2 linked regions of the Callithrix jacchus genome follow. The protein of the gene in region 1 purifies or fractionates together with the protein of each later gene. This does not show direct contact. Links are inferred from orthologs where the notes say so. Each region holds a gene or a part of one and is shown in the gene's direction. Other genes may lie near its edges.

Region 1 (3,500 bases):
CCCCTGTGCAGAATGGGGGTGAGAAAGCAATTGAGGGAGGCGGGGAGCTGCAGTGCTGTGGGCTGAGGAGTGAGCTGAGGGCTGAGCCCCCGGCACCATCCTTGGAGGGAGGGAGGGAGGGAGGCAGGGAAGGAGGCAGAGGGGCCAGGCCCATCACTCCAGCACACATCTCAGCCCCAGCACTGAGATGTTTTAACATCAGCTGCCAAACAGATGTGCAGGTGCCTTGCACACATTACTGGTTCTGCCAAGGTCAGGGTCTCTTCCTCCAAACGTCCTGCTCCCCGCCCTTTACTCTGCAGCAGGCCCTCAGCCTGTCTTTGGTGAGCGTAACATTTTTGCAGCGAGCACTGCTGTTACTTTGCGGCTTGCTCCCGAGCTCGTGTCTGTCTGCTGCTTCCCGCTCAGGAGACTCAGTGCATGTCTTGGGTTGTCACACCACACAGAGGACATGGCATCCCTCTCAGGGCACCGTGTCCTGAGGCAGCTAGTGCCTGTTTCCTCTGCATGACCTTGTTTGTTCTTCTAAGTGAAAGTCACAAAACACCTTTTTTCTTTTTTTAAGTAATAACATAGAGGCAGGGCCTCTTTTGTTGCCCAGGCTGGTCTCCCAACTCCTGAGCCCAAGCCGTCCTCCCACCTCGGCCTCCCAGAGGATTTGGATGACAGGCATCAGCCAGCACACCAGGCCCAGGTGACCGAAGTGAACAGCTGAGTGACATTTAGAACGTTCACCACCTCTTTCTCTGAGAAACATCTCCATTACTCCAGGCTGGGCAGGGGTTCATGCCTGTAGTAGCAGCTACTAGCCAAGCTGAGGTGGAGGGATCACTTGAGGAGTTCAAGGCCAGCCTGGGCAATGTAGTGAGATCCTCTCTCTCAAACATAATAAATAAAAACATTTTCATCATTTCAAAATAAATTCCTGCCCCTTAAGCATTCTCTCCCTGTCACTCCCTCCCCTTAGCATCTGGGCAGTCCCCAGTTTTCTGAGATTTCCCGTTACGGACATTTTGTGGAAATGGAGTGCCCAGCCTTTCTATAGAAATTTTTTTTCCTCCCACACCCGCCCCCCCCCAGAAATGGTTTTGACCTTTTGTGCCTGGCTTTCACTTGGCAGACTGCTTCTGCGGTTCACCCCTGCCGTAGCATGTGTCAGTGTTTGGTTTTCATTGCTAAGTAATGTTCTCTTGTATGGACAGAGCCCGCCTTGTTTTCCCGTTCTTCCCCGGATGCCCGTTTGGGCCGTAGCACGTGGTGCTGGAACATGTGCACGTACTTGTCTCAGTGCCTGTCTCACACTGGGGTTTAGGAGTGGGATTGCGGGATGGATGTGGTGATTCTGTATAACTCGGAGGCGCCACCACACTGTTCTCTGCAGCCCTTGTAGCATTTCGTTTCCACCAGCAGCGCATGAGGGCTCTCACCTCACATCCTCACAGTACTTGTTTTTGTTTTTCTGTTTTCTTCTTAATAGTCGTCCTAGTGGCTGTGAAGTAGTACCTGAGTGTGGTTTTGATTTGCATTCCCCAAAGACTCGAGTATCTTTTCTTCAGCTTATTGGCCATTCCGTACCTTCTTTAGAGAAATGTCTGCTCAAGGCCTCTGCCCATTTTTGAATTTGTGGTTTGTCTTTCTGTGGATGGGTGGGAGCTCCTGTCGTGTTCTGAATAGGCTCTTGTGAGAGATGTGATTGCAGAGGTCTTCTCTTGTTCTACAGGTTGTCATTTACGTTCCTCATAATGCATTTTTTCTGCTTGCTTTTTTTGTTTTTTGATTCATAGTCTTGCCCTGTCGCCCAGGTTGGAATGCAGTGGTACGATCTCAGCTCACTGCAAGCGATTATGGTGCCTCAGTCTCCCGAGTAGCTGGGACTACAGGCACTTGCCACCATGCCCAGCTAATGTTTGTATTTTTAGTAGAGGCAGGGTTTCGCCATGTTGGCCAGGCTGGTCTCGAATTCCTGGCCTCAAACGATCCACCCACCTTGGCTTCCTGAAGTGCTGGGATTACAGTCGTGAGCCACCGCCCCAGCCTGGAACAGCCATCTTAGCAATATACTTACTCCATGAACATGGGATATTTTTTTTTTTTCAGCCATGTTTTATAATTTATAGTGTACAAATTTTTCACTCCTCTGGTTAAACTATTCCTATTATTTTGGATGCTATTGTAAATTGAATTTTTTTTCAGTTTCCCTTTCAATGTGCTCATTTCTGGTGTATAGAAATACAACTGACGTGTGTGTTGATCTTGTGCCCTGTAACTTGCTGAATTTGCTGGTTTTTTTTTTTTTGGATTCTTTTCTTTAGGATTTTCTATGTGTAGAATCACATCGTCTGCAAACAGAGATGGTTTTACTTTCTTTCTAACCTGGAATCCTTTTTCTTTCTTTCTCTTCCCTGGTTGCTCTGGCTACACCTAGTGCCATGTGGAGTGGTGGTGGTGAAAACAGGCATCCTTGTCTCGTTGCTGATCTTGGGGGAAGTTTTGTCTCTCACTACTGAGTATCGTTAGTGTTTCATCATTTGAGGGAGTTCCCTTCTATTCCTAGTGCTTCATGTTGGTGAATGTGGACTACTTGGTTACAGGTGTGCACCACTGCGCCCGGCTAATTTTTGTATTTTTAGTAGAGATGGAGTTTCACCGCGTTGGCCAGGCTGGTCCCTAACTCCTGACCTCGAGTGCCACCCACCCACCTTTGCCTCCCAAAGTGCTGGGGTTACAGGTGGGAGCCACTGCGCCCCGCCTCATCTGGTTTCTTCGCTACAGAGTTACTGTCTTTTGTAATAATTCCTGTATTATTTTTGAGTGGGGTGAGACATCAATTTGTGACTCTCACCAGCAAGCTGAAGGCCCCCAGGAATCACTGGTGTAGAAGCTTGTGTGTTCTAATGACACGAAAGGGGAAGAGCAGTTGCCACAGCTGTCCCTGGGCAGATATTTGCGTCCAGTTGGGCGCTGCCTCCCAGGGTAGGACAGCAGGTGCTCACCTGCCCTCTTCCTGTTCACAGCCGGATTCGGACTCCACCAAACACTCAACTCCATCGAACAGCTCCAACCCCAGCGGTCCACCGAGCCCTAACTCCCCCCACAGGAGCCAGCTCCCCCTGGAAGGCCTGGAGCAGCCAGCCTGTGACGCCTGAAGCCGCCAGCACGCCAGAGGGCCCAGGGAGCTGGGGATGGCCTCCAGCGTCAGTGCCAAGACTGAGTGGGCCCGCCAGTGTTGTCCAAGGAAATGTAGAATCACTTTGTAGATACGGAGATGAAGACAAATCTTTATTATAATATTGATCAGTTTTATGCCGCATTGTTCGTGGCAGTAGACCAGATCCGTTCGTCTGCACAGCTGTGAGGCAACATGTCCCGTCTGCACATGAAGGACCCCACACACCCCTCTCCCACCCCTGACAGCCCGAGAAGGCGTGTGGGGCCCTGCTAATGCCACTTCCTCAGCAGAAACCCGTCATAATACGGCTGCCTCGGAAGCAGACAGCTGG
Region 2 (4,300 bases), on another chromosome or scaffold:
AGAGATAACCACAGCTAATATTTGCATATACTCTTCCAGTCTTTTTTCCATGCATACATATGAATTAGATATTCGAATGAGAACTTTCCTAATGTACACAGGATTTGGTGTCCCAGTCTTATTTACTTAGCATTAAATCATTAGTATTTTTCTTTATGATCAAACAGTTTTTGAAAATATTATTTCTATGGCTACATACAATTCTGTGCTAACTCACTTATGTGACCACTTCATGTGGTTTGATGTTAGAGTTGAGGCTATTCCAACCAAGACTGCTCCTCCTCCTCCCCTTCCTCCTTCCTCTGGCCCACTCCCCTCTGAGTCCCATCACTGAGCACGCTCCTGCCCACAGGCACATGCCAGACAGAATGGTAGCCACAGGGCAAGACACCACCCTTGCCCTGGACAGGCTGCCTGTCCATTTGAGACATTCGACAGTTCCCCCATGAGAAAGCATCTGCACTCCCAGAAATAGAAGCCACAGGCCAGAGAGCCAGGAAGTGGAGGTAGGACAAAACATTTCCAGCTGGGGCTGAATGGCCAGTCCAAAAAGACCTTAGCGCATTCACCACGTGCCAGGGCCTCAGGCACAGCAGTGAGCAACGCGACGCTGTGGTCAGGGACAGCCAGCACCCAGAAGGATGCTGCATCCCCAAGTCTGGATCGAGGCTCCTGCCTGCCCTCCCGGAGCCCACTGCCTGGGAGGGAGAGAGACACTAATTAAATAACCTCACAAATAAACTTGGAATTATAACTAGCCCATGAAGAAGAGGTTGGGGGTGCTGTGAGCACCTGTAACCTAGGGTTCCCTTGGGAGGCGAAGCTGCAGCAGCCCATGGGGTGGAGCAGGTGCACAGAGGGACTGGAAGAGCACCTGTCTGGGGAGCAGAGGCCATGCAAAAGGCCCTAGAGACAGACAGAGGCCAATCAATCCCCTGCAGCCAAGCTAGCTCTTAATCCTCAGAGGACTGGGGGCGTTGAAGGCCTTTAAGCAGCAGCAGCTGAGATTGGATTTCCATTCTTAAGAGTTTCCGCTGGTTGTGGAGTAACTGGCTTGGGAGCCGCTGAGAGTGGGTAAAGGGGGATCGTTGAGAAGACTGCGTGCATGCTCGGATCCAGGTGGCAGGTCCCAGAACAGGGTAGGGCGAGCTGCTGGTGCCTTGCTAGGAACAGTGGCAGCGGGCAGGAAGACGGAAGGAGTGGAGAGATGTTTAGGAGCTGGAATCCGAAGGTCTGCATCAACGCTGTGACTCTCCAAAAGACGCTTGTTAATACACCTCTTAGCTTAGGACCGTTGCCCCATTAGCATGAGTAGGTCTGTGCTGGCAAGATGTCTCCTTAGACCGTGTCCCTTAGAGGACCTTCCAGTGAAGGTCGGAAAGAAAGGGAGTAGGTCAGGGCTGGATGCGGAGTTGCAGTGAAGGACACGGGCACCAGAGGGCAGCCCGAGGGTCTCGGGCACCTGCAGGAGCTAAGGCCCCAAAGACGGCCCGGCCAGCCGCGCACCTGCCTGGAGCCCTCGCCGGCCACTTTGCAGCGCCACCACTCAGCTTCGCGTCTGCTCCTGTAGACGGCGCCTGCACGCACGCCCTGGGCTGTCGTAAGAATGGCAGGTGGGAGCGCTTTGAAAGACGCTTCCAGCCCCGGGCATCTAGGAAAGGTGCCTGATGAGGTCTTGGGTAAGAGGCCCCCATCCAGTAACCCGCCTTGGGGCCTCCGGTGTCTGGCCTGGGCCCGTCATCTGCGTGTGTGACTGGTCCTGAAGACCTGCGGGCCGGCGGTTCGGGCTGCTGTCCTGCGTGTGCCTTCGGGTTTGCAGCTCTGGTCCTAATGGAGCAGGGACTGGGTCTTAGAACCCAATAACAGCTGGAGGTGGCTGATGCCGCGCACCCCCTCCCCCGGCGGGACACCCTGTGGTTAGTGGGGCAAACGCTTGGGTCTCTGCGTCTCGGTTTCCTCATCTGGCAGCCAGAGATGCCCACACCTACCTGCCCTGCTGGGTCGTCGGGGGTGTGGCCCACGGTGGGCGCTCGGGAGCAGTCGTGGCCGCGGGTCCTGTCAACTCCAGCCGTGTGTGGGTGGGCGAGGCCGTGGGCGTGGGGTTCCCCTGCCTCCTCCACGTGGACAAACTGCTGACAGTGGCGCAGCCACGTTGCCACGACTGGGGGAAACTGCCTTGGTTTCGGGTTTAATGAGAAAATGGATGTTTGGGTTTGGTTTCCTCTGGGGTTTGGCGAAGGCGTGTGCAGTTCGTCTCCACTCGCCGGGGCCGCTCTGGCAGGGGAACAGGCAGGGCGCTAGGACCCGGGGCGCGCTCGGACCCGGGGCGAGAAGCGAGGCCGGGACCGCGGTGAAAGGCTCGGGGCTGAGAGCTCGGCCGTCGCCAGGCAACGGCCCTGACGCAACGCGGGGAAAAAACGTCCCCTCTGAACGGAGCGAAAGGAGCGGCGCCGAGAATTCGCCGGAGCTGGGGAGGCGAGGCGGGAGCGCAGAGCTGGGGCCGGGCCGGAGCCGGGCAGCGCGGACCTGCGCAGGAGGAGGCGGCGGGGACCCCGGAGAGTCCCCAGCAGGGACCCTGGGCGCCCCGAAGGTGGGTTCGCGCCGGCGGCGGGGACTTTCCCAGGGGCTGGGAGGTGTGGCCGCGGCGGGCGGCGCGGGCTGGGCAGGGGCTGGGGCGTCGCGGGTCCCCGGCGGGAGCAGTGGCGCGGAGCAGCCCGATCCCCAGGCGCCCCGGAGGGGACGCGCGCCCACCACCCCCAGGAGAGGCCGGTCAGGCGCTCCCGCTCCTGCGGGCTCGCTGCCCTCCTCTGGGAGCCGGGCAGCCAGGGCCGGACTCATCTCCCAGCTCCCTGCTGGCCCTGTCCGGGCTCGGATTCTGGGTGGAGGGTCGGGGTCTGCCATCTGAGAGGGAGGGCCCCACGCAGCCTCTCCGGGTCCACTCCTAGGCGGCTGGTGACCTCCAAGCCCAGCCTGGCTCCTGTCTTCAGCCTTGGTGAGATGGAAGTTTCTGTCCTCACGAATTCAGTCCCTAACTCAGGAGAAGTGGCCCAGGGCACCTGGGCCCAAGGGTGCTCTAAGGACCCAAGCCAATGTGACCCGAGGGAAGGGCACAGCCCAGTGGGCCCCCGGGAATGAGTAGGTCAGCCGTGAAGCTGGGCACCCAGAGTCGCCGAGACACAGGACCACAGACCACAAGGGGTGGGGTGTCTTCTTCAGCTAAGTCAAGTTGGATGTATTGTTTTGCAAACCCCTTACTACCTGGTTTTTATTCCTAGTGGGGCTTGGAGGGAATTCTGAGGACTGGGACCTCCTGGGAAGATCTGGAAGGAGGATTGGCTCTTGGTTGGGGGCTCCTCATCATTGCTGGAGAATCCCAGATGAGGAGACCAGGTCCCCATCCACAGGGTTTTCCCCAAGGGACACGTGCTCCAAAGCAGCTTCCCATTGACAGGGAGACACAGTCCTGCCCCCTACTAAGCTCAGGATGGAGAGTGGAGAGCCTGTTTAAAGTCGGGAAAGCAGAGGTGCTGTGGCGCCTGTCGCCTGAGCTCCTCGGCAGGGTAGGAACTTCTGCTGCCTGGTTTGAAGGAGCTTGGAAAGCAGCCATGGGCTGTGCCTGGAGTGGATAAAGATGACAGCTCTTCTGTCTTGAGTGTATTTATGGATAGTGCATGACCTGGGAGCCCCTAGCATCCCTTGGTCACTCCATCCTCCCCATTGCCCTTCAAGGGGGCCCTATTATGCTTGTTTTGCCAATGGGACTCAGAAGTGGCTCCCACACCTGGTGAGAGAGCAGAGATAGTCAGCCCACGTGCCTGACTCCTGGGACAGTGCTCTCAAAGGAAGGCTGCTTTAGGAAGTCCGAGGCCCCTGAGGCCCAGAGAGAGGCAGAAACCACCCACACCCAGAAGAAATGAGAACTGTGCAGTGGGGCTCATCTCGTGACCTCAGAAGGTCCCCTGCCAGCTTGAGGAACCCTGTGGAGCTAGGAAAGCCATTTCTTCTATCAGGAGCTTGCAAGGCTGTGCCACCACCACTGCCTCAATTCTTCTCATCTGAAGCAGAAGAAAGGGTTGCTCCCCCACACCCTGTTCTCCTCCTTGCCTGCCCAGAGTCCCTAGACTCCCTGCGCACTTGCTCCTGTTCTTTTGGTCCTCCCAATTACATGCTTGGATTTCCACTTAATTGCCAGTCCCCGCCTTCCTGTCTACTAGCTTGGCCCCCCTCCAAGAGGGACTCTGGCAGGGAAATAAATTAAGGCCTTGCCTAACTATTTGCTGAGCGAGAGCCACAGAGCCCC

What was found.
Region 2: the proteins of CDC42BPB (region 1) and FAM167A purify together in Homo sapiens (co-immunoprecipitation; 3 studies listed by BioGRID and IntAct, counting the BioPlex papers as one, with this or other methods). This does not show direct contact. The link is inferred for Callithrix jacchus from reciprocal best matches to the Homo sapiens genes CDC42BPB and FAM167A.

Annotation. Positions count from the first base shown.
Region 1 is NC_133509.1:137,829,737-137,833,236, reverse strand, and holds part of CDC42BPB (serine/threonine-protein kinase MRCK beta), read left to right. Parts: intron 1-3,014; coding exon 3,015-3,146; 3' UTR 3,147-3,500. UniProt on the Homo sapiens protein: Serine/threonine-protein kinase which is an important downstream effector of CDC42 and plays a role in the regulation of cytoskeleton reorganization and cell migration. Regulates actin cytoskeletal reorganization via phosphorylation of PPP1R12C and MYL9/MLC2.
Region 2 is NC_133514.1:10,604,713-10,609,012, forward strand, and holds the start of FAM167A (protein FAM167A), read left to right. Parts: upstream 1-1,500; 5' UTR 1,501-2,191; coding exon 2,192-2,590; exon of another isoform or gene 2,591-4,300.